4 linked regions of the Schizosaccharomyces pombe genome follow. The gene in region 2 interacts genetically with the main gene of each other region. Each region holds a gene or a part of one and is shown on either strand. Other genes may lie near its edges.

Evidence for each region.
Region 1: mutations in dis1 (region 2) and dis2 are lethal when combined (synthetic lethality), as found in Schizosaccharomyces pombe (2 studies listed by BioGRID).
Region 3: mutations in dis1 (region 2) and klp5 are lethal when combined (synthetic lethality), as found in Schizosaccharomyces pombe (3 studies listed by BioGRID, with this or other methods).
Region 4: mutations in dis1 (region 2) and spc7 are lethal when combined (synthetic lethality), as found in Schizosaccharomyces pombe (2 studies listed by BioGRID).

The regions. Positions count from the first base shown.
Region 1 is NC_003423.3:3,171,693-3,178,759, forward strand, and holds dis2 (serine/threonine protein phosphatase PP1 catalytic subunit Dis2), read right to left. Parts: upstream 3,407-7,067; coding exon 3,355-3,406; exon of another isoform or gene 3,287-3,354; intron 3,006-3,286; exon of another isoform or gene 2,959-3,005; coding exon 2,027-2,958; 3' UTR 1,473-2,026; downstream 1-1,472. Other genes in the region: rpl29 (60S ribosomal protein L29), read left to right, coding at 631-657, 711-869; hom6 (homoserine dehydrogenase), read left to right, coding at 5,002-5,041, 5,111-6,201; sec2302 (COPII cargo receptor subunit Sec23b), read left to right, coding at 6,921-6,951, 7,001-7,067. UniProt on the Schizosaccharomyces pombe protein: Essential role in cell cycle control. PP1 is perhaps required for exit from mitosis.
Region 2 is NC_003421.2:339,148-347,606, reverse strand, and holds dis1 (TOG/XMAP215 microtubule plus end tracking polymerase Dis1), read right to left. Parts: upstream 4,743-8,459; 5' UTR 4,574-4,742; coding exon 4,523-4,573; exon of another isoform or gene 4,256-4,522; coding exon 1,658-4,255; 3' UTR 1,365-1,657; downstream 1-1,364. Other genes in the region: SPOM_SPCC736.13 (dehydrogenase), read left to right, coding at 5,819-6,838; YTH family RNA-binding protein Mmi1, read left to right, coding at 8,040-8,124, 8,253-8,459. UniProt on the Schizosaccharomyces pombe protein: Has a role in sister chromatid separation.
Region 3 is NC_003423.3:1,708,581-1,716,519, forward strand, and holds klp5 (kinesin-8 family plus-end directed microtubule motor Klp5), read right to left. Parts: upstream 3,538-7,939; 5' UTR 3,342-3,537; coding exon 3,311-3,341; exon of another isoform or gene 3,255-3,310; coding exon 634-3,254; 3' UTR 501-633; downstream 1-500. Other genes in the region: IMP dehydrogenase Gua1, read left to right, coding at 1-301; cay1 (cactin), read left to right, coding at 4,523-4,648, 4,695-4,946, 5,002-5,094, 5,141-5,593, 5,677-6,306; cytochrome c oxidase subunit VII Cox7, read right to left, coding at 6,560-6,580, 6,631-6,723, 6,791-6,856. UniProt on the Schizosaccharomyces pombe protein: Has a role in establishing metaphase during mitosis. Required for chromosome segregation where it generates tension during kinetochore capturing.
Region 4 is NC_003421.2:784,523-793,878, forward strand, and holds spc7 (outer kinetochore KNL network protein, KNL-1 family member, blinkin, Spc7), read right to left. Parts: upstream 6,139-9,356; 5' UTR 6,093-6,138; coding exon 1,998-6,092; 3' UTR 1,767-1,997; downstream 1-1,766. Other genes in the region: mmt1 (mitochondrial iron ion transporter), read right to left, coding at 1-266, 310-722, 942-1,183; P3-type proton ATPase Pma2, read left to right, coding at 8,657-9,356. UniProt on the Schizosaccharomyces pombe protein: Acts as a component of the outer kinetochore KNL1 complex that serves as a docking point for spindle assembly checkpoint components and mediates microtubule-kinetochore interactions.

The sequences.
Region 1 (7,067 bases), on a different chromosome or scaffold from region 2:
GTGTTATAATTATTATAGTGCAAAATTGTTTGGATGTTGAAATGTGTAGTAAAAATAGAAGAAAGTGCATACTTTGCACATTGATCAGACGAAACGAAAAAAAAAAAAAAAAAAAACTATGATTGTGGTTTTAAGAATCTACCAATATTTTTAAAATCAATGCATCGAGCTTTCATTTTTCCGCGCCGAGCATCAAACAAATTGAAGTACTAGTCATAAACATAGATCATGTTTTGCGTTATCCTGTAATTGCTACGATAGCTTGTTAGTTGTTTTAATTTATAACTTGGAATACAACATAAATTACAGAGTAAGCGTTTATTTGATCATTTTTTTATTTATTACCATTTTATTTTATTAACATTCCAGTACTTCACTTTCCTTCATCGTTATGTTTTACACAAAAGTGCTCAAAAACATTTCAACTACACGATTATTTAGCAATTATGCATACACACAGCACCAATGCAATGGGAACTCGCCGAAGTTATCATTCATAATTTAATGTAATACCGACGATATCGGTATTCGCTTTAGTAAACTACGCTACAGAAACTTGTAAACGTGACTGCTTTTTTTGAAACAATATTTTGCTTTGCATAATCCTCTTTCACCTATCCAGGAACCAAAATGGCCAAGTCGAAGAATCATACTAATGTGAGTTTGTCTTTGTAGATTGTTGAATGAATGTTAATACTAACTGAGCTTAGCACAACCAAAACAAGAAGGCTCACCGTAACGGTATTAAGCGTCCTCAAAAGCACCGTTACGATTCTCTTAAGTACCGTGATGCTAAGTTCCGCCGCAACCAAAAGTTTGCCAACCGTGGTACCGTCGAAGCTATTCGTCAAGCTAAGGCCTCTGCTTAAAATGCTTGGAATTAGTTGTCTTAGTTTGGTTTCTACATAAATGGCATAATTCAACGTTTTAAAAATTTTGGATTTCTAAAATGAGAATCTCGTTTGATTTGTGCTTCTAAAAATAAAGGTAGTCTGCCGGTTAAATTTAAAGCGAATGCGTAGAGTAAGCTCTTACTGGATGTATATGAATAGCTGTGACGTTCTGTTAATCTAAAGTAAATTGTATCATTGCACTTTTTAACAAAATTACCCGTGAGATTAATTGCGGTTGAACTTGTTTTTCGTGCTAGACTGATGATTCGCCCTTATACATATTGGCTAACTTTCGGCTAATCTTCACCGAATTTAGTCAAGAATTGGGTGGTACAAATTTTCTATTAATTGATAGTACCTTAGCAGCAGTATAAATCTGAATTTCTTAATATTATTATTGTGTTCATAGACTTGTTAGTGAGTACTCTGCTAACTCGCCGGTAAATAGCTGTAATGATAATAAGCACCTTACTCTCTCTTACGATTAAACGGTGGCTTTATATTATCAAATCCCAAGGAATGCCGAAACATTGTATAAGCCTACTGTATATAAACGTGTGAACTACCATAAAATAGCATCACTGAAAAGGAAATTTGATTGCATAGTAGTATAAACAATAACTAAATAGGCAAATTATTTTCCAACGTGAGACCAGTATACATAATTGAAATGAAAGACCTTTAAACAAAATTGTCAATGGTCATTATAAAGGATTCCACCGATAGCAAACAGAAGCTTGCAGCGGAAAATGCCATCATCAACGTTAAGCACTCTCTCGAAGATAAGAAGTATAAAGTAGTTCAAACAACTATTGCTCGGTAAAAACATCCGTCTTTTAAGCGTCAGATTTTGTTAAAAAAGGGAATTTAGATGATGAAAAATAAAAGGCAATAGTCTATATACATCTAACAATTGACGGAAAAGAAAGAAAATGAATAATGAAATGGTAGTGCAAAAAATAATTTCTTAAAAGAACATTCAGTTATTTCATGAACAATTAATCATCGACCATTGAGAAATGACGAAAAGAAATCCGTTCAAACAGCTACATAAAGCGGTATTATCGTCGAATTGTTGCTTGTGGAAAATGAAACCAACAAAAAAGAATGGGAGAAATTGGATTGAGCTTAAATTACTTTGAATTTCCTGTCTTATTCTTCCGAGGTGGAGTCATGTGCCAATTTTGACTTGAACCTTGGTATCCGTAGCGTTGTTTTTTTTCAGCCGGTTTCAAAATCTGGAAACTGCACAACAAGCTCTCGTCAACACTCATCATCGCACCTGCATTATCAAACTCGCCACAGTAATTAGGTGCACTGAACAATGTGACTAGCTGACGTTTAGAGAAGAACTCATAACCGTCTTCCACAACCTGATGGGCTCGGCAAACAAGATCCATATCGTGTTTGTGCAAAAACCGAGAGACAACATCAGGTCCAAACGTGAAAGAAACACCTCTATCATTATCACCCCAGCCTGTAAGATCCTTGTCAGGATCAGACCAAAGTAAATCACAGAGTAACCCAGTATCAGGGACATCGGTCGGTCGCATGATTCTTTGGATCTGGTCCATAGAGTTCAAATCTGGCGAAAGACCTCCATGCATAGTAAAAATTTTTTCATCAATGATAGCTGCTATAGGAAGGCAGTTGAAGCAATCTGTAAATGTTTTCCATAACTTAATGTTATAACGGCGCTTACATTCATCGTAAAATCCATAGATACGATTAATACTGGCGCATTCATGATTTCCACGTAAAATAAAAAAATTTTCGGGGTACTTGATTTTATAAGCGAGCAAAAGACAAATTACTTCCAAGCTTTGTTTTCCTCTGTCAACATAATCACCTAGAAACAGATAGTTGGCTTCTGGAGGGAATCCTCCGTACTCAAAAAGTCGAAGAAGATCGTAATATTGGCCATGAATATCTCCACAAATTTTCAAAGGAGCTTCAAGCTCTAGAAGGATAGGTTGACTAATAAATATTTCACGTGCTTTGTTACATAAAAATCGTATTTCATCTTCAGATAATTGAACCTGTCTACCTGGACGACTACCACGGACTAAAAGAAGTTAGTAAATAGCTAAATGGTTTAAATGGTAAAATTAAGGATGGAAGTATTGGTTAGAAAAATCATTCACACAGAAACACGATATATGCCAATATGCAATCGCATTTGAATACAAATATGCGTGATTATGTATATAAAGCAAGTGTCATCACAAATGAGACCAAGAATCAAAGAAAATGCTTTCTAAACGTTTTCAAAGAAAAAACTTTCCCTTTTTCCTGGGTTTTCCTCAAATTTTATGAACAGTTGAATGAACATTTACATAGAGTCGTTTCCAGTTTCTTCATGTAAATTATTGTATTAAACAACAACTGATTTCAATTTCCTTTCAAAAATTTGTCTAAACTCAACCCTTCATCATGATCAAGTCTGCTTTTCCCCACTCACCTTCTAACAAGCGGTCGATAATGGAATCCAAATCCACATCTGGGTTCGACATTTTACAGGTATCCAATATAACCGCTTTTGACACTTATGAAGTCAAATTTTTGGGTCTGTGATTAATTTTTTACTCGACCGAATTTCGACGATTTTTCTTCCAAGTAAAGTGTTCCGAGGAAAAGTAAGACGGACGGAGAACGGTATTCAGTCGGCAAACCGTTTAAAAGCAATATTTGCTGCTAACTCAGAAATAAAGGTTATGGCTAACAGTAGGAAACTGGAGTGAGTTGTATGTAGTAGGTAGTTGAATGGTTGGGTGGTGGGTGTACAACGAGCTTGATGCATAATATGTGCCTACTTTCCTATATTCCTAGTTTCTATAATCACTACTACATTAAAAAAACGTATATAAACCTATAATTAAATTACTTTGGAATTCTTTTCTTATATTAATTGTTGATTTTAAACAACCCTCTAAATCTTGCTGCTCTACAAATTGTCTAGCAAATTGATTCAATTTTCTTTATTAATAAAAGGTGAAGAATAATTTAAATATTTTAAGAGATAGCAACCTACTTCAAGATAATATCGGTTTATTGTTTTGCAAGAAAACTTCATTAGAATTTAAAATGGTATATTCAGAACATTTTAATTTCGCAGTATTTTATCATAATATTTTATTTTCTTCTAAGCTTGATTTAGAAAATAAATAAATAATTTAATGTATGTTATCTGAACTTTTAAATTGAAAAAGCTGCACCTGCTTATGATTTGAGTTTGCTAATCATAATAATATGCATATATAATTAACAAATTATATAGTCAGATTGGTTTCATTACAGTTTTTCATTTTCTTGAACCCTAGACTTTTCTCTTCAAAAATCTCTTTTTTTTTTTTTTTTTTTTTTTTTTTTAATAATAAAAAAGCAAATTTGATGGATGGAATGTGATTTATTTAGACACTTAGCAGCATATAATTTAATTTACGAAGCAAAAAATTAAATATTTTTTTTCACGAGTCGATAAACACTAATAAATCACATAAGTTGATTAAGTGGTTTTTATTAATTGTAAAAGTAAATATATGATTGTATGCCATTGAATCCCATATATGAAATTTAATGCGTTATATTTATAATTTGTGATTAATTTATATAAATCGGCTTCTATACTAGATTTCTAGCTAAGTTTATTTAGCGGAGCTTCAATAAAACAAAATCAAATTAAATAAAATTTGTATCAAACGAAATCAACATCATTATTGCTACAGTAATAGATTTTGCGCTTTTGAGTATTATTACAAATATGTTCTGACTCGATTAATATAATGTCGCTCACATTTTGTTCACAACAAATATACCTGCAAAACTTTGATATCAATCAGAGAGAAAGATCCTTCCTTGGTTGAAAACTCATTTTTGGGTATAAAATAAACTCTTCTAAAAAATGTTTGGTATGACAATATTTAGACATGGAAAAAATTTAAATCTCCCTAAATTATCTACACTTTCTAAAATTTTATTTCCCTACAACAAAATTATCAATTCGTATATCACCTCTTCCAAAGTTTCCTTTGAGAAAACCCTTGTCACTGCTTTTCGTAATCCGACCCAACGTCGTAGCATCTCTACCTCTCCCACCCACTATTTGAAAATGTCAGCTAGCAGAACTAACGTTAACGTTGCTATTGTTGGTAAGCACACAATAAATTGAATGCTTGAATGTTTTGTAAAGCGAAAGCTAATCACTTAAAAATAAATAGGTACAGGAAACATCGGCGGTGAACTCTTAAACCAAATTAAGGGTTTTAATGAAAACGCTTCTACCAATGGCACTACCTCTTTTAACGTTGTTGCCATTTCTAGTATGGAAGGTCACTACGTCTCCAAGGATTATCAGCCCATTAATTTGTCTGAATGGAAGAACCTTACTTCTCAGAACCAAGGTGCTTATTCATTAGATGCTTTGGTAGATTTCCTTGCCAAGTCCCCCCTTCCCGCCATTTTGGTCGATAACACTGCCTCTGAAGCAATCGCTCAATCTTATCCTAAATTTTTGAGCAAGAAAATCAACATTGCTACTCCCAACAAGAAAGCATTCTCTGCTAGTAATGATGTCTATCAAAACATTATCAAGGCTAGCAAGGAGAGCGGTGCTTTATTGATGCACGAGGCTTCTGTTGGTGCTGGTTTGCCAATTATCTCCACATTAAAAGAACTTATCGCTACTGGTGATGAAATCATAAAGATTGAAGGTATCTTTTCTGGCACTCTGTCTTACATCTTCAACGTTTGGTCTCCTAACGGCAAGAAAGGAACTGCCTCATTCTCTGATATCGTCAAAATTGCCAAACAAAATGGCTATACCGAGCCTGACCCTCGTGATGACTTGAATGGCATGGATGTCGCTCGTAAAGTCACCATCTTGTCTCGTATTGCTGGTGTTCATGTCGAGTCAGCTAGCTCATTCCCTGTTAAATCGCTCATTCCTGAACCTTTGAAGAGTGCTGTAAATGCTGAAGAGTTTTTAGCTGGATTACCTAACTTTGATTCAGAATTTGCTAGCATGCGCGAAGAAGCTGAGAAGGAAGGCAAGGTTGTCCGTTTTGTTGGTGAGGCTGACGTTGCTAACAAGACCACTCTTGTCAAACTTGAAAAGTACGACGCTTCTCATCCGTTCGCTAACCTTCAATCGTCTGACAACATTATATCCTTTACCACTAAACGCTACCATACTCGTCCTTTGGTAGTTATTGGTGCCGGTGCTGGAGCTGCTGTGACCGCTGCCGGTGTTCTTGGAGATATGATCAAAATTATGTCTCAGGTTCGCGCGTCAGATGCTCCTTCCGCTTAAATTTATATTTAAAGTTTTGGTTTAGGTTTCTTTAAATAAAGTTTTATCATCTCTTTTTTTACTCATTTCTAGATATCTGGAATGGTTTCCGTTATTATTCTTTGAAATATTTTTGATAAACCAAATAAGAAGAATGTACAAGTATTAGAGCTATGTAAAGGATTTAATTGCTTTAATGATACTACTAGAAGAAAATTTTCAAATATGTATGTTGTAGTAAACTTATAGTATTTTTCAATTTTTTTTCTCAACTACGATGATTCTTTGCATTAGTGCATGTAGTTAATACTTCCGTGACACTCGATTGAAGTGTTATGTCCGAAGGCTTTTCTGAGAGACCAATATATTTGGAGTACAAACAAACGATCGTTTATATCGACAAGAAAATTTGTTTACTCAATAGCCTTCAATAGCGCCTTGAGATAAAAGTACATTATTTTGCTAGTGCATATTGGATTTATATTAAATTTTGAGAAGTTAGTGGTTCAGCTGGTAGAAAATATATCTCTCTACTACTTCGAATACTTATTCATTCATTCGTAAATGCAATTAGTATTCTAGTTAATTTGTTTACTTATTCTCACGCTAAAATTCGTTAAGCCCGTTAATGGGTGCATGTGTACCCTCTTAACCCATTTGCATGTCCACTAATTAATACCAGCATACGTTTTTTTACTTCTTTGGACGAAGTTTGAATGTCCTGTTAACTTAAGGGGAAAATGAATTTTGAGGACATAGAAGATCAAGATGGTATTTCTTTTTTTTATAAGAGGAGAACTTTGCTAACCTTATGGTTTAGGGATACGACTTTCATGGAATACGTTTTCAGCAACACCTGCTGAAAATGCTAGAGCAGTCATTCCAAT
Region 2 (8,459 bases):
ATGAATTCAGAAGAAATGATTGTAAACGAGTTTAAGAAAATGCCGACGCTGACTATGAATGAGTATTAGATACTTGCAACAATTTTATCAGTTTATTCGGAAGATGAAGAGGATCGAGTGAATACGGAAATATCTATCTTTGGCAATACGGGAATGGAGCACCAAATGGAACACGGGAGTGTAACGGGCATGGCATGGCATAGCATAGCATAACATTGCATGGCACATGGCATGGCGATGTACTGATAATAGCTAGAAATGCTAGAGTAGCGACGAGAAGAGAGAAAAAAGAGCGACAAAAGGAAATAAAATAAAACGAAAGAAAATAAATAAACAAAAGAATACTCGAAATAAAATAAAACGAAATAAAATAAAATTAAACGAAATAAACAAAAGAATACCTCTATTATTTCCCTACTATTTTCCTACTAGTTCCCTTCTACTTTCACTTCCTTTTTCATGGCTCTTCTTCTCTCTCCTGCTCCTCCGACCGTCCGTACTTCTCTCCCTCTCTCAAATCTCTCTTCCCGACATATGGGAAATCTTCTTTTCCCTCCTCGCTGCCTTACTGTACTAGACTCCTGCTCTGCCGCCGCTGCCTTGCTTCCCTCCTTTCCCTACGGTGCGCGCGCACGATAACCAAACGCCGCAAGAAGCGATCGTCTATTGGATAAAGTTAGTGTCTCATATAGCCGAGGTATGGGAAAGGTGCGCAAAGGCAGTGCGCAGCAGGACAGACAGTTAAGAGGGTGCCAAGCAGTGCAGTAGAGTGCAATGTAGTACAGTAAGCTACCACGTAAATGTAGCAGAATGCAAGGCATTTCAGTAGGTGCAATGTAATGCACTATTTTACAATGTAATGCATTATTTTACAACGTAATACACTAACTAACAATGTAATACAGTACGTTCGCTTTCGCAAAGTAATACACCGTTTTGTTATCACCTCGTAGTTTTTATTTGCCCATCTTGCAAGGAACGAATTGCTGCGCTGCTTTAAAATGCATAGTGCAATACCTTATAACGTGCTGTATAACCTTATGCATCGTTTATCTATCAGTGGAAAAGCTCTTTCGTACTTTGCATTTAACGTGGAAACCTACAAACTCGTTCCTACTTATTCCATACTACGCCAAACTACACTGTACCCCCGTTGTTCGCTAATCCTAGGATCAAGCCTAAAGCTAGTGGTATTTGTTTGGCAATGCGCACAGGGGACGCGCTTTGTTGAATTGGCAAATGGAGCGCAGAAAAAAAGTTGCAGTTGTCTTTTTCCCGTGAATTCTTTTTCTTCTTGTGATTTGTCTTTTTTCTTTTCTTCTCTTCTCGTGAATTCTTCTTTTTCTTTTCTTTTCTTCTTTTTCTACATTTTCCTATTCATCTATCCAAAACTCTGATTTCTTTCTTGACCGTTTCAATTAGCATTACAAAATGATCGACTTTAATTAGAAATACAAATTGAGTGATTTCAACTCTACCTAATCGACTTTAACAAACACTCCAACAAAAAACTCTACCAGCATTTCCACGCTTGTGCATTCACCAAACTGACGACCTCTCTTACAACACGTAAAAACGACGCTCGATTTGCCTTTCTTCGTCTTTGCTAAATCCAGCATGCCCTAATCAGTCATACTTTCGGATGCATCGCCGGGCACTACGCCTTCTTCATCCTTTGGATTTGCTCCCACAAATGACTTGACAAATCATGACTCTCCCTCCAGTTGTCTCGTGCCTCTGGTGAAAACATAAACGACGGCCTCGAAAATTGCGTCGGCTTTTGTAACATTGATCCTGCCAGCGAACGCCGTGTCCCATACGAACTTGGCTTTGTCGACACAGAATGAATACCACTCGATACCATCCCAGCGTTACCACTTTCGTCCATTGCTGTCGTTGCTGTCGCCCTTGTCGTCACCCTCCCTATCGCTCCACTCTCGGGAACTTTTAAATCAATATCCATCGCTTCTTCATTCGTCTCATGCTGCTTCTCCAACTCTAACAATACTTGCTGCAATCGTGTACTCAATCGATCCTTCTCATTCCTTAAACTCGTAATCTCCACCTCCTTTTGCGATATCGTAGACTCTTTCTCATACACCTGTTCTTTCATTTCTGCATTCTGAATTTGCAAATCATTGATCTCTCGAAACAACCGTTCTCGCTCCAATGCATCTTCCGCTTCCTGAACTTGTCGAATGGCTTTTTCTTCTCTCAACAAATCCAGCTCCACTTTTTCCGACATTGTAATCGTAACCAAATTGTCCTGCTTTTCTCCTCCACTTTTCATAGACTGTTGCTGTGGGTATTCTTTGAGCGCCGACGCTGCTTTCATCGTTGATCCCGGTAACTTCTTCGTGGAAAGTCGACTAGTCTCTAACTTTTTCGAAATCGAAGGGGATGACGGAAACGATTGTTTTGACGACGCCGCATTCGAAACTCCCTTTGAAGAGGATGATGGCGCTTTCAATGTAGAACTTGCAAATCTATTCACCAACGATTGACTACGCAAAGACGTCGTCGATGGTTTCGTAGGCGAAGATCGTGTAGATAGAGATTCTTCTGTCAAACTCGCCTGTGATGGATTCGAGGATGGTAATGGTGAAGGTGCTTGTGGTGTAACAGCCAGTTTAACCGGTGATGTCTTTAAAGGAGAGGCCACTCGTGGCAGCCTGGGACGTGAGGGTTGATTCGGATGCGCATTCACCGTAATGTCCTTGGAAAGTTCTAATATTTTTGGTAACTTTTTAGGATCCAATCCCACAATATACTTGGACAACACTGGCTGACTAAAAATTTGCACAAGTGTTGCCAATACATTTGTGGTAGCCATTCGGACTGGCTCAAACGTATCGTTGATCAATGTCACACATAGGCTACATAGCGTTTCAAGCGATGCTCGAGGCGGACAAACATCCGTCAATTGTAGGCAACGATTCAGCCATCGAAGTGTCTCAGTTTTTACTTGTGGATTTTTATGCTTCAAAAATTCTAACGTCTCATCCATTATATCATTCAACCCACAGCTCTCAAAAATAGCATTGGCCGCATCCAGCAAAGAGTGCACCAAACTCGATTTTCTCTCTTTAAACCTATCAAATAAAGAAGGCAATACAATACCAGTATACGGAAGAAAGCCCTTCCTTAGCGCCTTGGCAATATGCGTCAATAATAAAGCCGCTACACCCACTACCACCACGTTTGCATCTTTTAGAGACTTTGCAATCACTCGAAGTAACTCACTATAGTCACCCTCTTGATAAACAGGATTGGAACACACCGGTACCATGCTTTCCAACGCTTCCTTTCGATCTTTCCACTTGGGAGAAGATAATGCGGTATGGAATTCTGGGGTTAGTTTGGAAAGAACATCAACGGGCGTACTTCCGACAATGTTTTTGGCAGGAGATACAATGGAACGGGAAGGAGATGCTGAAAAATCAGAAGGTTGTGAGACCTTTCGGTTAGGAGTACTGAAACTAGAAGTAGAGCGTTGCAGAGTGTTTCCCTGCGAAGATGACTTTGAGGACAAATGTGGTTTGGGTTTGGCATTCGATGAAAAAGAAGGAAGAACCACCTCTTGGGTGTTGAGGGAATTTGAAATATGTCCTCCCGTGGTCGTGCGAGATGTAACATTTTGAAAAGAGGCCTCAAGATCGGAGACCTGTATTTGCTTTAGTTGAGGAAACACATGAGTCTTGAATGCATTACCAACCCAAGCGTACAAGGTTATGGATAGATTCGAAGCTTCTTGCCTGATATTCTTATCTGATTGGGCGAACAAAGTAGGAATCAGTTTATAGAATGGAATAGGAGAAAGTGCAGGGATTCCAAAATTCTCCAATAAACTATTTAATTCTTTTATAGAAGCAACTGCCTGCTTGGGATGCTTAACGCGAGCCGCCGAAAATAACCCTTCTAATACATAGTCCAGCGCATCGGATTTAGCTAAAATGAGTAAAGCCTGGTGAGAAGCATCACGGATAGATTGTCTAGGAGATGGTAAACATTTTTCGAGTAGAGGAGCAACAACGAACGATTTGGCAGAATTAACTCCTTTTTGCCTAGACTTGTCTAAAAAGCATCGCAGAGATTTTACGGCATGCTCTTGTGTTGGTACGTTACTATCACACAGCCCTTGTTTCCATAATGCTGGGTCATGAATCCAAGGCTGGAAACAAACGTCTGAATCATCCAATGCTCGGTTCAATGCATGCAACAAAGACTCATATGCTTCAAATCGAACTTTCCAAGACTAAATAAATCAGTTAGAAACCTAAAAACTTAAAATAACCCACTACAGAAGTGAGATCCATCAATACTAGGGAGAACAGGTATGAAAAGAGTAGTGACGGAAACACAAAGCAATGAGTAAAACTAATTGAAATCGTAAAATACAATGGAATTGATCAACAGTGCCCTTAATGCCGTTGCAACGATATTTCCATTTGTTTGCTTTTCATTCCAGTTACATTTTTCTGGACAGCAAGCTTCTATCTCCATTAATTTGTAAAAAGCTTACCTTATCAAAAATTTGACTGAGAATGCGGCTATTAAAATCGTCCAACTCCATTTACATAAACAAATATAAATTAACGACTCGTATGTTTACAACCAGCAGAGCATGAATAGTTATGTAAAAGAATGAATTTTATAGACAAATAGAAAAATGAAAACGAATGAAACGGACGGGATTCTAAACAGTAATGAGTATGGCTCTGAAATTGGAGTTGTACATGTGTAAATAGAGACGACTAACTTTACGGACGACAATGTTTCACTCACACAGCCAGCACCGTAGAGTTAGCACAATTCGTTAGACCATCGTATTGTTGAATATGAACGAGCGCAAGATTACACTATTAGAGCAAAATGTAAATAAAGCAGAGAAAAAGAGGAAACCATCAATAATTTTAAGTTTTTAGAGTAATTTAATTCTTTAAATAAATAACTTTATCTTAAACCGTACCAAAATGATGCTAACAGAAGATGAGCACCCAAATGGAATGTTCACCGATATATTAAGCCTTATGCAAGTTGCTTTTTGAAACCGATTAATGTGCTATTGGGTGGCTCTGTAAGATGCTTGTGATCTAGTATAAGTGAAAAAATGAATTTCTAAGACTCTTACTGAATAAAACATGACGTTTAACTCGTTTAAAGAAGGGAATCCTATAGATTGCAGATTTTTAAGTTTTCGTTTCTATTCATACCTAAGTCTAATTTTATCTTTCATTTGCCCAATCTGAATTCGAGTTCTTCAATTACAATAAGTTCAAGTTATACATTTTTAAAAGGATTCCAATATTCTGTCGAGCACCCAATTCATACATTCAATTCTAAACAATCCATATTTCGTTTTGTAAGCCAAGTAGTCAAAAGTAGCTAGTCGATGTAATACCATGCTTGATCAAATTTTCGGTCCGCAAAGAAGCCGTGTTACGCCTTGAGTTTCTTGGATTTTGAAGAAATTTGTCAGCGGTCATTGTATAAATTACGAATTGCTTCCTCTTCCGCTATCGTCACTCTTTGCAACTTATCATCTGCAGCCACCCTTACCCATATTCAACATATTCGACGAGAACGATATTTAAGTGTTTTCTAGAACTTAAGAACGCTTATTAAAAGAAAATTGTTGATTTATTCTTGAATCTGTTCCAAACTTGATCGATTGATTTCATAATCGCTACAGTTTCGAGTTAAAGACATTGGTAATAAGTTTGTTCTCTGGCCACTTCTTTGCAATAAAATCCTCCCCGCTCATTGTTTATAAAGTTCTTTTTTTTTAATTGATATTAGCTTCAAAAATTTCTTTACGATGTCCTACAGTTTTCAGGGATTGCTCAACCGCGTGAATGAGAGCGCAATTGTAAATACTCTCAAAGAGTACACCGGTCTCAATACACCCAAATGGACCTTTAACGATATTCCCGATCTTACGGGTAAAGTCGCTCTTGTCACAGGATCTTCAGGTGGCATTGGTTATGTAACTGCCCTCGAGTTGGCTAGAAAAGGCGCAAAGGTCTATCTGGCTGGTAGGAACGAGGAAAAGTATCAAAAAGTTATGAAACAGATCCACGATGAAGTTAGACATTCCAAGATCCGTTTTCTTCGTTTGGATTTGTTAGACTTCGAAAGCGTGTACCAAGCAGCTGAGTCTTTCATTGCCAAAGAAGAGAAATTACACATATTGGTCAATAATGCTGGTATCATGAACCCTCCCTTTGAATTGACTAAAGATGGTTATGAACTTCAGATTCAAACCAACTACCTTTCACATTACTTGTTCACTGAGCTCTTGCTCCCCACACTCCGTCGTACTGCAGAAGAATGTCGACCTGGCGATGTTAGAATAGTTCACGTCGCAAGCATTGCATATTTGCAGGCCCCTTATTCTGGTATCTACTTCCCTGACCTAAATCTCCCGCATGTACTTTTGGGTACTTTTGCTCGTTATGGACAATCTAAGTATGCCCAGATCCTTTATTCCATTGCTTTAGCCAAACGTTTAGAAAAATATGGAATATATTCCGTTAGTCTACACCCAGGTGTTATCCGTACCGAGCTGACTCGTTACTCACCTACCTTTGCTCTCAAATTGTTAGAGAAATCAGTCTTCCAGTATTTACTTTTGGATCCAATCAGAGGCGCCATGACTTCCTTATATGCTGCAACCAGTCCCGAGATTTCCAAAGAGCACTTGAACGGCGCTTACTTCACTGCAATTGCTCAGCGTGGTATTCTTCATCGCGCTCATGATGATGCCTTTGTTGAGGAGCTTTATCGCTATACTCATAAGATATTTGAAGATCTCAAGTATTTAGCTCCTTCTCCATAATTCTTTTGCTCGTAATCTGAACAATGATGAACGCTTCTTGAACCACTTAAACTAGTAAAGTGTTTCTACCTCCTCATATATTTTTAGTTGTCTTATGTTGGAATCCCTTTATGATTACTTTATATTAGTAATAATATTATACAATTTCGTATTGCTTAAGAACCACAAACAGCATTTCGACTTTGTCGCTACATCGCTTCTTCCCTGGTAACAGTAGGTTTGATCTCTTACTTTTCTGTCTGTCAAAGCATTGGTATTGTGTATTAGCCATTTTATCCACACTTTAGTCGACTGTATTTTAATTTACAAATCAAATATTTACTTTATAATGTTGATGGTAAATATGGAAACGACTAGTCGACATTTGACCATTCACTATTTACACTCAGAGCAATTTTTTGTTTTTTTAATCTTAAAAAAGAATCTTTCTTTTGAGTATCTCTCTGTGCCACGGGGCATTTTTTGAATCTGCCGAACAAATTTGTAAGAAATGTGAATTTACAAGGAATACTTATTAAAAAGTAAAACTCTTTTAAAATAGAAATTTTTTTATTTACTCAGTAATTGATGGTTTTCATATTCATTTGTTTTATCAAAGTACTTCGTATTCGTTATTACCCGTAATCAAATTACTCTCTCACGATTATCTGCACCTTGCCTTCTTCCAGAAATCCAACACTAAGGAGGCTACTAGTAAACCCTATAATAAAGTGTTTTATTAAACATTCAAACATTATTTTGAAAGTTGACGGGAAATAGCTAACTTTTGAAGAAAGTGAAAAGCTATAATTGGTGATTTTTGGGCTAAACATATTTTTTTTTCTTTTTTTTGGGGCTTGGTCTTCACTTGACTTACCGCTATTCTTTCAAGAGTATATCTATCTTGCTAGTTCTTGCTTTTTTATTTCTCTACTCGGCAAGACTTTTAAAGTAAACGATAGTGGTTGATATAAATTCAGTTAGTGTATTGACCAGCAATTTTGTTTTTTGGGGGGTTTTTTTGGTTCTCTCTTTATTTTTTTTTGTAAAAAAAATATAAAGCAAGGGATTTTGGTGAATATTTATTAACTTAATTTAATATTTATCACAATCTTCTGGCTTCAACTCATTTTCCGTTACTCAATTTACAAATTTTTAGCATTTTAAAGAGGATTTCAAAAAAAAAAGATTATACTTTTTATCACACATAAAAGAAATTTGAATGTCAAACACAAACTTCTCTACTTCTAGGTCATCAAAGTCCATTCCGGAACTTCCAAATTTGGAAGCTCTGCGAAGCCTGTGGCGTAAGTAGATTATTGTTTAAAATATCAGAGAGGAATGTAAAATAGTGTCATTGAAAATTGACTGACTTTTCGCCTAAAACCTCCTACTGTTTAATTTTGTCGAGAATTTTACTAACCACCTTATATAGCTCCACCGTCATTGAACGAATCGGGCGATACTAGAAGCGTATGGACTACTCATACCGGAGAGCCTGTTGCGTCAAGTGTTCTATCTACTTCAGGTTCAAACAACTTTTCTTCACCTCTGAAAAGACCTGCACCAGAGTCACATGACGCTCCTATCGGTAGAAGATTGATGGTAGATGATCCCCGCTTAATTAAACATGGTAAATATG
Region 3 (7,939 bases), on a different chromosome or scaffold from region 2:
AATGGAAGGTACTGGTGTTAATAAGAATGCTTCTACTGGCCGCTATTTCTCTGAAAACGATGCTGTCCGTGTTGCCCAAGGTGTCTCTGGTTTGGTCGTCGACAAGGGCTCGCTTCTTCGCTTTTTACCTTATCTCTACACTGGTTTGCAACACGCTCTTCAAGATATTGGTACCAAATCTCTTGATGAGCTTCATGAAGCTGTCGACAAGCATGAAGTTCGCTTCGAGTTACGTTCGAGCGCTGCCATCCGTGAAGGTGATATCCAAGGTTTTGCTACATACGAAAAGCGTCTTTACTAGTCGTGTATAAGGATATTTAGGAAAAATTTAATTAAAGTTAATAAATTGCATTTATAGTACTTATTTTTTTTTCAAGTCAATTGTGTTTTGCTTAGGTAGAAAAAAACAAAATTATGTACATTGGAGGTGGCAGACATATATGTACGCTTGTATTTGATAGTGCATTACGAACGAATTGTGCAAGTTTACTAAGAGAATTTTAGGGTTTATAAATATATAATCTAATAAGTTATTAATTCATTAAAAATTCATATCATCAAGCTTATCCGTTTTTTTTTTTTAAATATACCCAACAGGATATTTAGAGGATTCGTATTTGAATATACGGACCTTTAGGTGGCTTTCTCTTCTTCGTTTTCAGCCATGCTTAAAGATTTCCTAATAATGTTAGCTGGATTTGAAAGATGAAGAGTAGTCAATGAACTGAGGCTTTGTCGAGTCTTCGGTTTAGAAAAATCAAAGTTGTGAATAGCTTCATTGTTGAGGATGAATGTTGGTGAGTCCATATTGGCTCTGGAAAAATTCAAATCAGGAACTTTTGGGACTGGACTACCATCCAGATCAATAGTGTCCAGATGAGGTAAAGAAACATCGTCAGTTGACGAGTCCTCGGCCAGCAGTTGATCAAGCTGTGTGGATTCACTATTAACTTCTTGCTTTTTCTCCAAAGGACTTTTTATCAAAAGTCCAGGTTCTGGTTTATCTTCCAACATCGGGGAGACAGGCGAAGTAAGATTAATTTCAACATCTATCTGATTCTTATTTTCAGGCCGTTTATGTGCAGGAGTTGAAGGCATATGCATAGTATTAAAGAAGTTCATGTTCTTTAACTTAGAGGTTTGAATGGGTGAGTTATACGCGGAGGCACCTGAGTCAGACGTAGACATTGAATCGTCGAAACGAACCCTCTTTTTTGGAGAACGTTTTGAAAATACAACTGGTTTTTTTGGAGACTTCACGAAAAACATTCGAGGCAAGTTATTATTAAGCAAGGGTTGAGTGGGAAAACTATGAACTCTATCACGATTGATAGTTCGTGAATCATCGGATGTTGAGTTGAGCTTATAACTTTCTGATAAGACAGATATATTAGGTTTCTCGCCAAGACCAATGCCCAACAACCACTTTTCCAGTATCGAGAATAGCTCTTGCATACCTCCCTCTTTTAGCAATGAACTAGCTTTGAAAGAACTTCTAAGAAGGGATTCTAAAACAGGAGTGAACTCATCAACTTTATTCTGAGCATCTAGAACCTGATTCTCAATAATTGATTTTAGCAAGTCAACTTCATCCTGTAACACATCAGCGTACATGGTAGCACCTTCTTGTTTGTATGTGTTGATAATGTGAGAAACACTTCTCTGAAACTTTTGGTATACAAGTTCAGGATCTATATCAGCAATGATCTCTGCACGACGAGTTAACAATGATTCTAACTTTGAACGAACTAAAAATACTCGTTCATCTGCGGAATTCGGAAGTATTCGCTCATAGCAGGATAACCAGTACTTAAGTACGCGAATTGAATCATCAAAATGTTTCACCTTTTCTACCTTATTAATAGTATCATTTTGCAGTGGTAAAGTCTCCTCAAATGTCATACGCAATAAATTTCTGGCTTCTGCAAGCTTCGATTCATGAGCAAAAGATTGAGTTACAGCGTCCTGATCAGAACCATTTGATTGCGATGACAAATCGATCTGTGCGAGACGATTCTCCAACTCTGAAATTTGCTCACGTAACTCAACGATTGCTTTTACATATTGGCTTACATGTCGATCTACACTGATCATGTTCCTTAACACTTCGGTTTTGATATTCTTTGCTCGATTAGCATATTTTAGAGTATTGTGAGTTTCTTCGTAATGAACAGAAGACGGAGATACGCAAACAATCATAACTGTCCGACAATTTCCGCCTAAACTAAACTTAAGTAAGCGAGTAAGTTTAGAATCACGATAGGGGACATGCGCACGGCGATGGGGATCACAAAGGGCATTGATACAATTTCCTAGGGCTAAAAGAGATTTATTAATATTAGCACCTTCAAAAAGACGACTACCTCTTAATTTGGTAGCTGTTGCACGTTCTGAGCCAGCCAAGTCAATAATTGATAAAGTGGCCAAAGTGTGGTCCTCATTGATGCCAGCTGTACGAGGTTTTTGGATCAACGTAACCTGCAATACAGCATGCGAACGAGATGAAGCAGCGTTAGCTTCTGTCGGAGACATAGTACGATTAGCATTTCCCTTCATGATAATATCAATGATTTCTTCCAAAGATTCTGGAGACAAAGAAGTAAGACCTGGTACAGTAATGCGACGGTCTGCATCTTCCCGTAAATTTAATGGCTTTGCTTGATTTGGGGTCGGTGATACTAATAAATCACGAATAGTTTCATTATAAATTTCCAAATAGGAAAGGCGAAGGTCAAAAATTTTTTCATCTCTTAAATGATCCATTCTCTCAAAAAGTTCTTTTAGTGTCAAATATATTAAACCAGGATCTTGCATTGTTCCACTAATGGTGTGAGTTTTACCACATCCAGTTGCTCCATATGCAAAGATAGTAGCATTGAATCCATCCAAAATATTGTCTAATAACGGCCTGGCAGTTCTCTCATACACCTGTTGCTGAGTAGCAGTTTCATCAAAAACCCTATCAAAAGCATAACGAAGATCACGGCCAAATCCCGCAGAATTGTTTGACTTTCTAGATAATCTAGCGAGACTCTGTTGAGAAGTAGAAAGTCTGCGGTTTGTGGCACTCAAAGTAGCCGTTGTTTCATCCGGGGGATCAAATACCAAGACACGTCCATCAAGTACCTTTACTACTCGTCGAATTTGACGTCCTGAACCAGGGTTCCTTAAGGAAGAAGATGTTCCAAATGATAAACGATCTGAGGATGCAATTAAATTTGCAGATTCAGCTGTACTAAATGGGCGAACACGGACTATTTTATGTTAGCAAAAAGATATGAATTTAAAAAACATCACATTAAAGACTAACCTGTAACGGTAATGGACGACTGTCTTGACATTGAAAAGCAAAATTTCCATGCAAGCAATCATCCAAAACAGATGAAAAGAAGGGCACTCGCAAACAACAATTCCAATAACCTTCTTGAATAAAAGCAATTTATATCGAAGATCACTATTAAAATAGATGTAACAGTAGAAAAGAGCGAGAAACGCGTTTTTTGAGTGCGCTTCAATGTTGACTGTTTGGCATTTGCCAAGTTACATTTCTTAGTCAAGTAACGCACTTTGTTTTGAATGGTTGTTATGGCAATAAAAGATGTAAACAATTACATTATTTACATATTTTGACAATAAACACAAATACAGGTAGTTACGATTAAAATCGAGTTGAAATACTGTTTTACCTTTTCATTTTCACTAGTTGTGTATAATGCTATCTCAGTATCATAGATGCTTTTACAGTATTTTTATTATTATAAAAGGCAACTAAATTCGATGATTGAACTGAATCGCTATCGTTTGGTTTGTAACTTATAATGTACACATGCCTGGCAAGATTCTTGCTTTGCTTTACTTTTATCACACTTTAATAAATCGTCCGACAAATTTAAATCATTTTCACCTATAATTGCAATAGAACATCAAATAAGTGTATATATTCTTCTAGCACTTCTATAAACACCACAACTGCTGCACTAGCTACTTTATTGCCAATTAACTGATGGCCTAAATATCTGATTAGTTTGAAAGCAGAGGACTAGTGAGCGCTATAAACAAAATTATATTCTATATTTTATATTGGGTATTCCTATATTCGTTAGGTACTAAATACTGAGTTTTACTTCACCTTTTAGTCGATATCGTTGAGACTTTTACCAATAGCAACTATAATGAATTAGGGGTTTTTCGTGCTATAACATTACCGCTCAATTTCTTTCAAACCACCAAGCGTCAAATTAGAACTACCTACTAAGCATTCGAATATGCAATAAAATTTCACCTTTGCCATAACCATAAATTTTACTATTGTTGGATAAGTCTTATTATTGCTAAGTAATTGATTACCTTAAGTTCATTTATCAAATAACAAAGCTCTACGTTTCAAATTTCAAAAAAAAAAACTTAACCTACTCATTGAGTTGTTTCAAATAAAAAAAAAGCAATTGGATTCTCTTCTGTTGGAAAGCACCCTTCATACAGCAATATTGGTATTTAAGGCATTGAATTTAAATATATTACTATGGCATTTCGTGATTCAACTCGCGATTTCAACAGAAGTAGACCTGAAAAAAGGCATGCTTCGAGATCTTCTTCACCTCGTTCATTTCGACCTTCAAATCAAAATGCAAGAGCAAATTATAATTTAGTAAGTAGGAAAATGTTAGTTGTTTTTGAATTAACCTTCCCTTTAGCCGAGAGTGAGAGATGCTATGAAAGAGGAAGAGCGAAGTAGGGAAACGAAAGAAATGCAAGAACGGGAATTTTTGCGTTTACAGCAGCTTCGAAGAGCTATTATTCGACTTAAGAATGATCGTTCTAAGCCTATAGATAAACTTCTTGTCAGCGTTTACTTGATGCCAGGCCCAGAATGGGAAGAGAATGGAGAAAAAAATTCAATTGATTTTGGAACAGTTGACATGTTTGATCCACTCTCTGTTATTCAAGTAAGGGACTTATTTTATTTTTACTTTATAACAGATTAATCATTAACATACTTAGAGTTATAAAGCAGAAGATTTGGAGGAGATATCTAGAAATATTGGTGATATTCAGCAGCTGGAAACGAACCAATGTAGACTAACTTATTGGAAGGTATGGATTATTTTTTATGCTTTAAGTGCTAAATTATACATTATAGTACGTTAAAATGCTAGTGAATTCTCGAATGGAACATAACAAAGTTGGGCAATTTTCAAGAGGGTTAAAGGTCGTAGCAGGTGAAGTACAAAGGATTTTAGCCCCTAAATCTTTTGAACAATTAGAACAGCTTGAGGCACAAATTCAAAAAAAATTGAAGAGCAATGTCCCTCTCGATACAGATTATTGGGTTGATTTACTAAACTCTTTAAAATCTTACAAGGCCATTGCTTATTTAAAAAAGACTTTTAATGAAGAATTACAAATTCGAAAAAATAAACTTGATAATGAAGAATGGGACAAAGCTTTTTCCGATGCCAAAAAACTGTCAAATATGAAGGATCGTGAAGAGAAGTTATATATTGTCCCTATAGACCCGAAGCCCATTTTGAGGGCTCAAGCGATACCACGCAGGATACAACCTGAAGAACAAGCCGATTATGAAAAAGAATTGGTAAGATATTTGTGTTTTTCATAATATTAACTCTCTTCCAAATTACGATTTCCATCTTTTGTCCTAACCAAAATCTTTTCTAGAATGATCATGTCAATATTGTAAAGTCTAGCACTTATATTCCAATATCGATACCTACCCAAAAACAAAAGCCAACTTTGCCGAAAAACAGTAATCTGATTAACGAGGATGAATTTTCAATTGCCAACAGGGCACGACTCGAAAGAGAATACTTACAATCCGATGATGCAGAGGAGCAAGAGATGCTTGGGGACTATGTAGAAGGGCAAACCCGTGTTGTTAACGAAAACGGGGTTACTTTGAAAAAGCCTCACTACTTTAATAGAGTTTTGCTTGGGTTTGAATGGAATTCTTATAATCAAGCACATTTCAATGAAGCCCACCCACCTCCCAAAGCAGTTCAAGGGTACCGTTTTAACGTTTTTTATCCAGATTTAATAGGTACAGGCCGTGCACCAACGTATCGAATAGAACGAACACGAAGGAAGAATAAAAGCGACACTACTGATTTACAAGACGATGTTTGCATTATACGTTTTATAGCTGGGGAACCATATCAGGATATTGCCTTCAGTATAGTAGATAAAGATTGGGATTACAGTGCAAAACGAGATCATGGGTTTAAAAGCAGTTTTGACAATGGTGTTTTATCCCTCCATTTTCGATTCAAAAAGCTTCATCATAGAAGGTAAAATAACTGATTTATCATGTTGTACATTTAATGAAATTTAAATTACTGTTACATGTGCAGCTAAACAACCTTAAAAGGCATCTACTAAACTACTTAAGTATTGCATAAATAAGTTTAATCGTAAAGAAACACGAAATCGATTAGTTCGTGATTGAAAAGCTAAACTAATTCAAGAAGAAGGGGGTGATAAATAGAAGGAAAAGGCATCATAGAAATTTGAAGTTCCCTGACATAAAAATATGCTTCGGATGTCCTCAAAAAGCATCTTTCTTCCCCTAATTTTGAAAGGTTAGAAAAAAATAGTATAAATCGAGTAATAACATACGAAAATGACTCTTCCAGAGGCATAAAGGGAATACAAACCAAGACCAGCCATAACAGCGTAGTAAGGATAAACAAGAGCAAAACTACCTGGTCTCTAAATATTAAACAATTAGGTTCTTTTTTCTCTTCATAATTAAAAACAAGTTTCGTTTAAAACTTACCTGCAAGTAAGTTGGTTTGTGGATGCTTTGGAGAAAGCGTTGTTGTTGAACAATAGTATTCTTCATTTTTTTCTTTTTTAATTAATAATTGTTTTAATAATTATAAAACGAACCAATAATCAAGTTAACAAGTTAAACTGTTAAAAAAATGAGGGTTAACGATAAAATGTAGGTAGGTGCGGAAAGGATTGATGGTTCCAATTAGTACATCTTGGTGCCAGAACACAGAGTCAACCTCATAAACTCACATATTTAAGTATATTAATAAGACGGTTAAGTGAAAGATATTCGTATTATTAAAAAAATGCTCCTTTATCGTTTTTGGTATGTATCATTTTAAATTAATCTTACTGAACGAGATTAACGCTAATAATATAAATTAATTGTTGTCAAATAATTTAAGGACGGAATCATTGTCAGATTGATTCTTCTTCAAAAACTAAAGCTATCTCCTTATAAGCTATTGGGGAATCTCTTTCAAACATGGTATAAATGCGTCCATGGCATACTCGGAGCAATAATAGTATAGCGATCAAAGTTAATAATGAAGATGCATTTGCTTGTACTTATATAAATTCTTATGGTTGTTGAGATAAGGGAACAATTTTATACTGAGTTACATATGTTCTATCCTTCATCAGTATTCTCTACAAACGCGAAAATTCCTTGTCCATTTAAGCAATTCGTATTACAAAGCTCTATGTTCATATTATACGAAGGACGTTGAAAGTTTTTAATTGATTCTGACAATGACTTACAGATAGAATATGATGGTTTGAGTTATTGAAAATGCTAAATCGTCTTTTCAAGTAATTGATGAACTAAAACAGTTTCTTATACATTATATTTCAGAAAGTACTTTAAAGATACTCTGCTTTCTTCCTTGTTTTTTTTTTTTTTTCTTTTTTTTTTTTTTTGGAATACTAATACCGAGAAAACTTTCGTCAAATTTTATGGGCCTAATAATAATCTTATGAAATTAAGGTGCACTTAACCGAGCTATACTTTAAAGATTACAATTATCACAACTGAACACAACATTATATTGTTGGGGTAAACCTTTAAATTTCATGCATTTGAAGAAAATTGATTGCATTAGCTTAAAATATAGCTCACTTAGTGACTGGATGATCATCATAATATTATGTC
Region 4 (9,356 bases), 440 kb from region 2:
TAAAGCATCAGTTACTGCGATACGTAACTCTTCGGAAGGTGCTCGGTCCAAAAGCTGCAAGAAGGCCTTTTTAGAAGAGTTGAAGCCGGCACTAAAAACGACAATACTTACTAAACAACCAAAAAACGGATCTAGCCATGGAGCATTAAGAAAGTAAGTGCCGGATAAAGCAAGCAGTGAAACCATTCCCGTCAATGCATCTGCTCTATGATGCCAGGCATTGGCTAGTAAGATATTTGAATCTGTTTTTTGAGCCACCGTTCTCGCTAAATATACTATTAGAATCCAATAATAGGTGAAATTACTTACTTTTTCGGAAGAGCCATTCTTTAAGAACAACACTACCAAATATAAGGCCAAGTGCCATAAAGGGGTGTTCAAACAATAGTTGAGAAGGATTATGAGAATGACCAATGTGCGTGTGTTCTGAACCAGCGTATGGGAATAGTATAGTATACAATCTCGATAACGATGAATGAGCAATGCCTACAGATACAGCCACCAATAAACCAGATACGGTGAATGTACCTATGGTTTCCCATTTGCCAAAACCGGCAGGGTACTTTTGTGTGGGCTTCTTGCTACATATTTTCAAGGTAGCCAATGTTACCAAGTCCGAAAGTGTATCTCCTAATTGATGAGCAGCATCGGCGACAAGAATGCTAGATTGTAGAGCAACTCCGCCGATACCTTTGGCGGCTGCTAAGCCTATATTGCTGTATCTATAAAAAGTGTTAATAGTCAAGAATATCTATAATAAAGGGAAGAAATTGTCAAAAGATCTGTCGTAGAACGAAAGCATAAGAGAGTACCAGTTTAAAAATGGTCTCATTAAATATCATGAGTTATTTAGCTAACTTTAGGGCTACAGTTCCTTTGTTGCCGCTATGCTCCGAATTGATAAGAAAAGATGACTTTCTTTTTTTCTTTTCCATACTTACAATCCTAACCACGCAAGTTTCAGCTCTGGAGATTTCCCTTCTTTTTTCAAAGCTTTAACAAGCTCTAACATTTCTTTGTCCGATCCATGGTCATGGGTATGAGTGTGAGAGCCAACACTATGCATTCTTACAGCATTCCGAATTTCAAAGCCAGATTTCTCGTGCAATCTGCTGCACAATGTCGGTAGAAAACGCGGCATCGCTCGACATGAGCGCGCTGACGAATTGAACGTTTTCAGCATAGTGAGTTTTGTACTGTTAATTCAAGAAAAGGGATATCTATATATAAAACAAAACTTCTAAAGAAGTAAATATGTAGAAAACCTGGAAATTAGGGCTCAACCGGCTGTCTGTGAACTTTCGATTGCGGATGCAATCTATTTTTAAGTGTATTAATATTTTTATCAGAAATTGCAGACGAGGTTCAGGAACTTTGACTTACTTAATTAAACTGTGTTCAAAAATAAAAAATGGATAACTTAATAATCCGAGCGAAGCCTAAAAATCTAAAAAACCTCCTATTTCAATTCTGCAAAATTTGAGCTTGCAAACTCATAATTTTGTAAGCAGCGTCTGACTTTCAATTATAAAAATCTAAATATCCGTCCAATTCTCTTAAATTAGTTAAGATCTTTGTTTTGTTTAGGATCGGTCTCTTCTATCGATTGTGTATATATGTATCTAGGAGAACGTAAGATGTCGATCCCGTACTTATCAGATCAATGTGAAACTTTACTACACCAGATTTGCACATCCGAGAATCTTTTAATTATGGATAGTTTATTTATATATTAACTAAACACTTTATTTTGTAGCGCATTACGGGTTTAACAAAAAGATTTATAATTTCATTATCAGTCAAGATCTACCATTATTATTTCACCAATATTAAATAGCATAAAATATATACATTTTCTTTAGTAACATGTGAATTAACGAAAACGAATGAACTAGTATACAACAAGGATAAATGATATTTCCAAGCGTTAAGCACAAAATGAATATTGGGAAAGGAAGTCGCTTCGGCGCAGCATAGCTAATCATTCCCATTAATATCTAGCTGTATTTGTTCCAAACAGTAAGACAAGCAGACGAAAGGGCATAAGTTGATGTACAATGCACCACTTCCGAAAGAGTATTCAAAACCTCACTAACATAAGAGTCTCCTTCACTTTCCGCATACATCTGTTTCACAGCGACTGATGTAGAAGCATAAAACTTTCCTACTTCAGTAGTTTGGTAGATAGTATCAATTGGGAGACCGAAAACAACCTTTACCTTAGATGATACCGAACGCAGGTATAGCTCAACATTTATGATAATAGACTTATCATCATTTTCAACTGACAAAAAGGGCCAATGGTACCATAATCGCTGGAAATCTTGGACAAGATAAACAATTTGTTCCCAACAAATTGAAACATCGTTAAGATACTTCTTCAGAAGACGTAAGTTCCTAGAAAATACCTTGGAATGCCATTTAGAAAACGACGATGCAACATGCTCGAGCACATTTGAGCTGCAAGCATTACTTTCGTTAGGGAACTTACAGGCAATATCAACGTTAACTTGGAAATTTTGCCTCAAAATCTCAACCGTAACCTCGGCTGAATAAGGAGAAAGAGCAGTGTTATTTGTAGCTAATTTAATTCCGCCCGCGGTCAAAGAAACTATGGTCCAGCCAAGTTCATTTTTAAGATTTAACAACTGCTCCTCGTATCGCTTAATTTCGTCAAATTCAAAATCTTGGTTTTTCGCATAAAAATCTTGTTCAGCGTTGGTACGTAATTCCAAATCAGAGCAAGAGTTTGTCACTTGTTCTATCTTTATTGCCAACTCCTTTCTTCTTTCTTCTTTTTCACTCAGAAGCCGACGTCTCCTCTCAACCTCAACCTTGAGTTTCTCTAACTTTTCTTGCGCCTGCGCTAGAAGAGTTGAGTCATACTGATTTGCAAATTCCTTCTGCTTCTTTAATGTCTGTACTGTAGTAATACTACCATTGTATCTCTCTTGAATTTCCTGCGCATACGGATGAATAACATTCGCGACATCCATTAAATGGGTCAAGCTTCTTTGCATCCCAGTTAAATTTAAATTTAATTCATGTTTGATTCCTTGCATCAAACCCTCACGCCATTCGTACCAATCACCTTTTGCTTGAAGTCTAGCAAAAGTTTTCATCATTAAAAATTGTGAATCCATTAAAACCCTCATATCACTGGATGCTTTCCTATACTCATAGAATAGTAACGGGTTCTCTTTCAAAGTTTCCTCTTCAATTTTAGTAACAAAATCCTTCCCTTCGGCAATATAATCCTGTAATTGCTGACAACTAAATTTGTATAACTCTAACAAAGGGAATTGTATGTAAAAAGATTCCAAAAGTTCTTGGATACTGCATTTCTTATTTTCTTCAGCATTTGGCAATAGGGTTTCTCGTCTTTTAGCAATAGTAAGATTATCCAAAAATTCAATTCCGGTCATTTTAAGAAAATCTGATAGGCTTATCGGCTCGACGTTTGGTAGAGTTGGCATCGTATCAAATTCTGGCTCATTACCAACAGGTATTTCTTCATTTGGACCAGAGTCTTGATTCAAAATGTTCGTGTTAATAGTCGAAGCGCCCAACGATGTATCAACATTGCTCACACCTTTTGATAATTTGACGGGTGACTTCTCATGTTCATTCATGCCCACGGAAGTTGTATTACCTGCATTTGACGAACCAACTTGAACAAGTTCATTCCGGTTGGGTTCCTGAGATTCCAATCGCTCCAAACTAGTTGAATCGGCGTAATCTGCAGTTGTTATACGCTCTTTTTCATCCTCATTCGAAGGTTGTTGAGGAAGCTTAACAGAAGAAGTCGTATTAGTTGGAACGTGCTTAATTTCGTTAGTCTGTTGAATTGTTAGTCGCTCTGTTTTACTCAATCCAGAATCAACATCTGCATTAGACACTTGTTCGCCTTTGTCATCAGTGGGTTGCCTTGAAACTTCTTCAGGAAGACTTGAAAGCGGCTTTTCTGTGGTGAATGGCTTCTCTGCGGTAAGTGGAGTAGCTCCTAGACGATAATTTTCGGATCGCTCAACCGATTTATAGAGACCAGAATTTACTTTTTTTTCGAAAAAGTTAACCGGTAGAAGTTCTCTGTCATTCAAAGTTGAAATTGATTTTCGAGCATTACGGATTGTTGCAAGACGATTGCGACGCAAGGTACTTTGATCAAAACTTGAAGTGCTATATCTTAAGCGTCTTTTCCGAGTACCAAGCTTATCAGTAGGAGTCGCTACCACATGTCTACTTGGAGAAGAAGAGTTAGGATCTTTCGAAAATTTTAGATTATTGTTCCCATTTGGTGACCGTTCATGGTTGGTAAAGGAGGTAGTATTGAAATTTTCTGACTTATCACTATATGAGGGTATTTCTTCTCTCTCGGCATTTTCCTTGTCTGCTGAAGGTAACTCAACATTGTTTCCACGGATTTGAAAAGCCACTGTTTCGTCCATAGCAGCTTCTTCCACCTCAAGATGAGATGTAGAATTCTCACAAGGAAAAACTGTTGAGGTTAATTCCATTGGTTGCTCTTCGGAAAGTGCTTCTTTAGAAGGGGATAATATATTGAAAGGTCTAGTAATGTCCATAAAGTCCTCACTGTCGGGAATGGGCTTTGAAGAATTGGCAGTCTTGTTATTATCCTTTCTCGGTTTTGAAGAAGAGGATATATTTGAGGTAAATTGATTTAAATCATCTTCATTCAAATGGGTGGGTGCATTTGTAGAGCTAATGGGTTGTGTCAAGTCCATTATTTGCTCTTCCATGGATCGTGACGATGGACGAATGGGGGAAAGGAGAGTTAAATGTGAGTTTTCGATATTAAAGGCGGAGGTGGTATCCATTTCTTCTTCTCCATTAGTTAAATCGTTCGGAGAATGATTAGTTAAGTGAGGATTAGCATTAATTGGTCGGGTAAGGTTCATAGGCGCTTCTTCTAAGTTTTGTAAATCTAAGCCATTGGAAAAATGAGACACTGGAGATAAATTAATGTTATTAGAGGTAATATCCATGTCAACAATAGCTTCTTGGGAAGTTAAAGGGCGAGCGATGGGGGAAAAGTGTTGCGGAATTTCAATAGGTCGAGTTAGCATCATATCTTCTTCTTCTTCTTTATTTTCCGACTGATCGTGATTTTCGTTATTTTTGGAGAAATCCGAAATTTCAATACTAGTTGGACTAGATGATTTGTTAGGGGATGAAAGTTGAGTTTGGTTTGAAGGGTCATGAGAAGCTTTTAAACTATAAACAGTACCTTGCTCGCTAGAGCTAAGACCTTTAATTGATTCGGAATGTGATAAAAACGAATCTGCTTCTTGGAATTGGATAGTCAAATCCATGTTAGTTTCCTCTCTATCATTAACCTGCTCTCTCGTGGCATCGTGAACATCAAGTGCCTTTTCTGCTTCAGGTAAGGCTTTTGTTGGATTCTGGATACTTAAATCATCATTCTCCGGATACAGAGAAGGAGGCGGATGGCCAGCATTCAATGCCTCAGAGACCATATCTGATTCGGTTGACCGAATAGGGGACGCAATGTCCATATCACTACCGTCTGAAATAATCGAGGCACTATGACTATGGGGAGATGATTGTGTTTCGTTTCTCGAAAAACTTGTCGTTGTTGGACCTTTAGGGGAATGGTTTTTAGCATCAGATGCAAAAGTTCGCTCAGGTGTGCTGTGATTAGATGTCGACTTTTCCGAGTCACTCTGGTGATCTTTAGGATACCAACGTACACGTGCATGACTAGCAAAGGAAACTCTTCTGTTCAAACTTTTTCTAGACGTCTCACGCGACAATTGCTGTAGGTCTTCCATTTGAAGTCTCTTTGACGCAGCCATAACATTACTAGAGATTCCAATGACCGTGTTATTTATTTGTGTGTGTATATCATTAAAGTCTTCATCTCCTGTGAAAGCGGGATCTACGGAAAAGGATGAATAACTCTTTAGAATGCCTTTTGCTGGATTTGTGTGTTCTTTAAGTTCTTGAAGCGCACCAGGTCCTCCAAGCGAGTGTGGACGCTTCCTACTTTTGTTTCTTCCTATAACATTATCGGTCGTCGCTATACTATTGCGACGAGGCGATGTTGGCATCGTCAAGTTAAACAAAGCACGTCGACACACGAACTTTGTTGTTTTTAGATTAAGACGAACATAAGAAATTGTAATGATAGTTCGTTAAATTTATGGCGGTGAGTTTCTTTTTGCGGCCTAGAACGCCTTTCGTTGTATTATTTAAGGAGTCTGTAAGCCTTTTTAGGATACGGTAGACTACGATGATGCTTTCTGTAATCATTCCTGTTAGCTAATCTGAATAAATAATGAATAAAGATCCTATTTGTAAAAGTTCCAATGAACAATATGACTGTTGTTCATTCTTATCATTAACAAATTGTATAAAGTAAAGGTAAATTGGGGGTACTTTTGTTCAACTGGGTCTATTTGTAATATTGGGTTTTCTGTAAACAATAAGGTAATGAGCATCACAAGCATATGCGCACTGTGATGGAGGAATACAAACTTCAAAAAGGTATAGATATCTAAGATTCACTTGAATGTTTTGTCAAATGAGCCGCACTGTTCTTTTGGCATAATTTAATGGATTAACTTGAAAGCAATGTGCGGTTGTAAGAAGTATAAGTAAATTGTAGCGAGGTTGTTATAAATTATTATTTCGCAAATTGTATATTATAATAATACTCGTGAATATTCCTTTAAAGGAGTGTGTTTATTTAATATCATTCCAGCGGCTTATAATCAATAATCGAGAAAAAAACTGTTTATTGTTAGTATTTCTATAATTTGATGGATATTGCCATGAACTTACAACCACATGTAATTCTATGTTCTACTTTCCATTGAGGTTCTCGTAACCTGTTCCATCATTGTTTACTATTCAAAAGTGGTTATAAAAGGTTACCGGCTAAGCAAATATAAGCTAGCTCATTCTGAACTATTTCCTGTTCATTTCCATGGTTATACTTAGCCATAGTGAAATTGACCAGACATTAATTCGTGTACTTTTCCTTTTACGATGATATATTGATCACAAATAGAAATTATAAATCCTTTTAAGTCAGATTACGATTGCGTTGCTAAGACCTGAAATTGATATATTATGTACTATAATCCATATGTGTTATTAACAACACTAATGCTTTCAAATCACAGTAAAGCTTAGTAACATAACTAGCATTTGTACAACATTTAAATGAGTAAAAAAAAAACAAGTATGGCTGAGCTCGCTTGTCTTAATATTTTTTATTAGAATGATAAATCATATACCACGATTAGGATTTCTTTGAAGAATGGAAATACAAAAGGACGTAAAATGTTTATATTCGGCACAGGAAGGATAGCGTTGTATAAACGAATGATAATTGTTCAGTATTTCAAACAAGTAAGGCTTTTGTCATCAATACTAACATTCTTTTTTTTTTTTTAAATCCGGGAAATTGACAATTCTTACAATTGGATATTTGTAAATCCCGTGTATCCCGTAGTATGGTATGATATTCTATTCGTTGCATTTGGTATAAGCCTTCAAATACGAGCAGACTTGGTTAGCCCAATATCATTCTCCCATTTGGATTTAGTCAATGTTACGATATAAATGGTCACAAATCTCCGGTATCGTAATGTTATCCAGTTTCAAACGACATAACATGTTTCAATTTAATAATGACTTATTAATAGTTGCATAACTACTGTATTTCACTAGAATCCTTTACTTAGCATAATGTGTGTGACATGATAAAAAGGGCGTCAGACATCTTCTCTGAGGAAGATTTGATAAAAATAGAAAAAGTATTGTCTATACAGCAGTCCAGGCTTGTCCTTTAACAATTGCAAAAATATAGATTATTCCACAATTCATTTAGCATACTAACTTTACTTAAAAGGGGCCAAACTAATGCTTCAAATTGCAAGGATTAGCCAAAATTGTGCCAAAAAAAAAAGAAAAAAACACACAATAAGACAAGTATTTCTTCGTTACAACACTAAATAATGAAATCCCAAGAATCACGAAGTTTTCTATGAGTGCTCCATCATAAATATTCTCTAAACAAGTGGACTTAATGTATCCAAACATAAACAAATACAGAAATCACACCCATTAAATATTTTATGTAACGATCCGCTTAATAATAAAATTGTAAATTTATAAAAATAAAAAAATAAAACCACGCAGTATTCAATAATATTTATCTCCGGGTACAATGAAGCTCCTAGTAAATATAAAAGACAATTGCAAATTCAGGTAATCGACCGGTAATTTTTACACAATAATGAAAGCATTGTTACGAGACTGACCTATAAGATGGTATTATTACTAAATGAGTCTGCAACCACGCCTATATTAGGTCAAAAAGCAAACCAAGGGAGAAATGAAGTCAATAATACGCATAGGAGACGAATATAAGCTGTGAGCTAACCAAACCGCAATAAGAGGCTTACAATTGTTCCCCGCATGATTTTTTGAAGCTTTTACTATAAAAAGGAGTCCTTCGTAACGGCTGGCGACTTACTAATTGTCATCCAATTCAAACAAATTTTGTCAGTCTTTTATACACAACAATAGAGCCAATTCCAGTTCTTTTACCTTTTCATCCTCACCAATCTTTTGCGCATAGTCGTTTTAATAACCTTTGACTAATATGCAACGAAATAACGGCGAAGGGCGACCTGAGGGTATGCATAGAATTAGCCGCTTTTTACACGGCAATCCTTTCAAGAATAATGCTTCTCCTCAAGATGATTCAACCACAAGGACAGAAGTTTATGAGGAAGGGGGAGTGGAAGACTCCGCCGTCGATTATGATAACGCTTCAGGAAACGCAGCTCCACGTTTAACTGCCGCACCTAACACTCATGCTCAGCAAGCGAATTTGCAAAGTGGTAACACATCAATTACCCATGAAACTCAAAGTACCTCCCGAGGACAGGAGGCTACTACATCTCCATCGCTATCTGCTTCCCATGAAAAGCCTGCCCGTCCTCAAACCGGCGAAGGCAGTGATAATGAAGATGAAGACGAAGATATTGATGCCCTAATTGAAGACTTGTATTCTCAAGATCAAGAAGAAGAACAAGTAGAAGAGGAGGAATCTCCTGGACCTGCTGGAGCTGCTAAAGTAGTCCCCGAAGAGCTCCTTGAGACAGATCCCAAATACGGTCTCACAGAATCTGAAGTCGAAGAGAGGAAAAAGAAATACGGTCTTAATCAAATGAAAGAAGAAAAGACAAATAATATTAAAAAATTCCTTTCATTTTTTGTGGGTCCAATTCAATTTGTAATGGAGCTAGCTGCTGCATTAGCAGCAGGTCTCCGTGATTGGGTTGATTTCGGTGTGATCT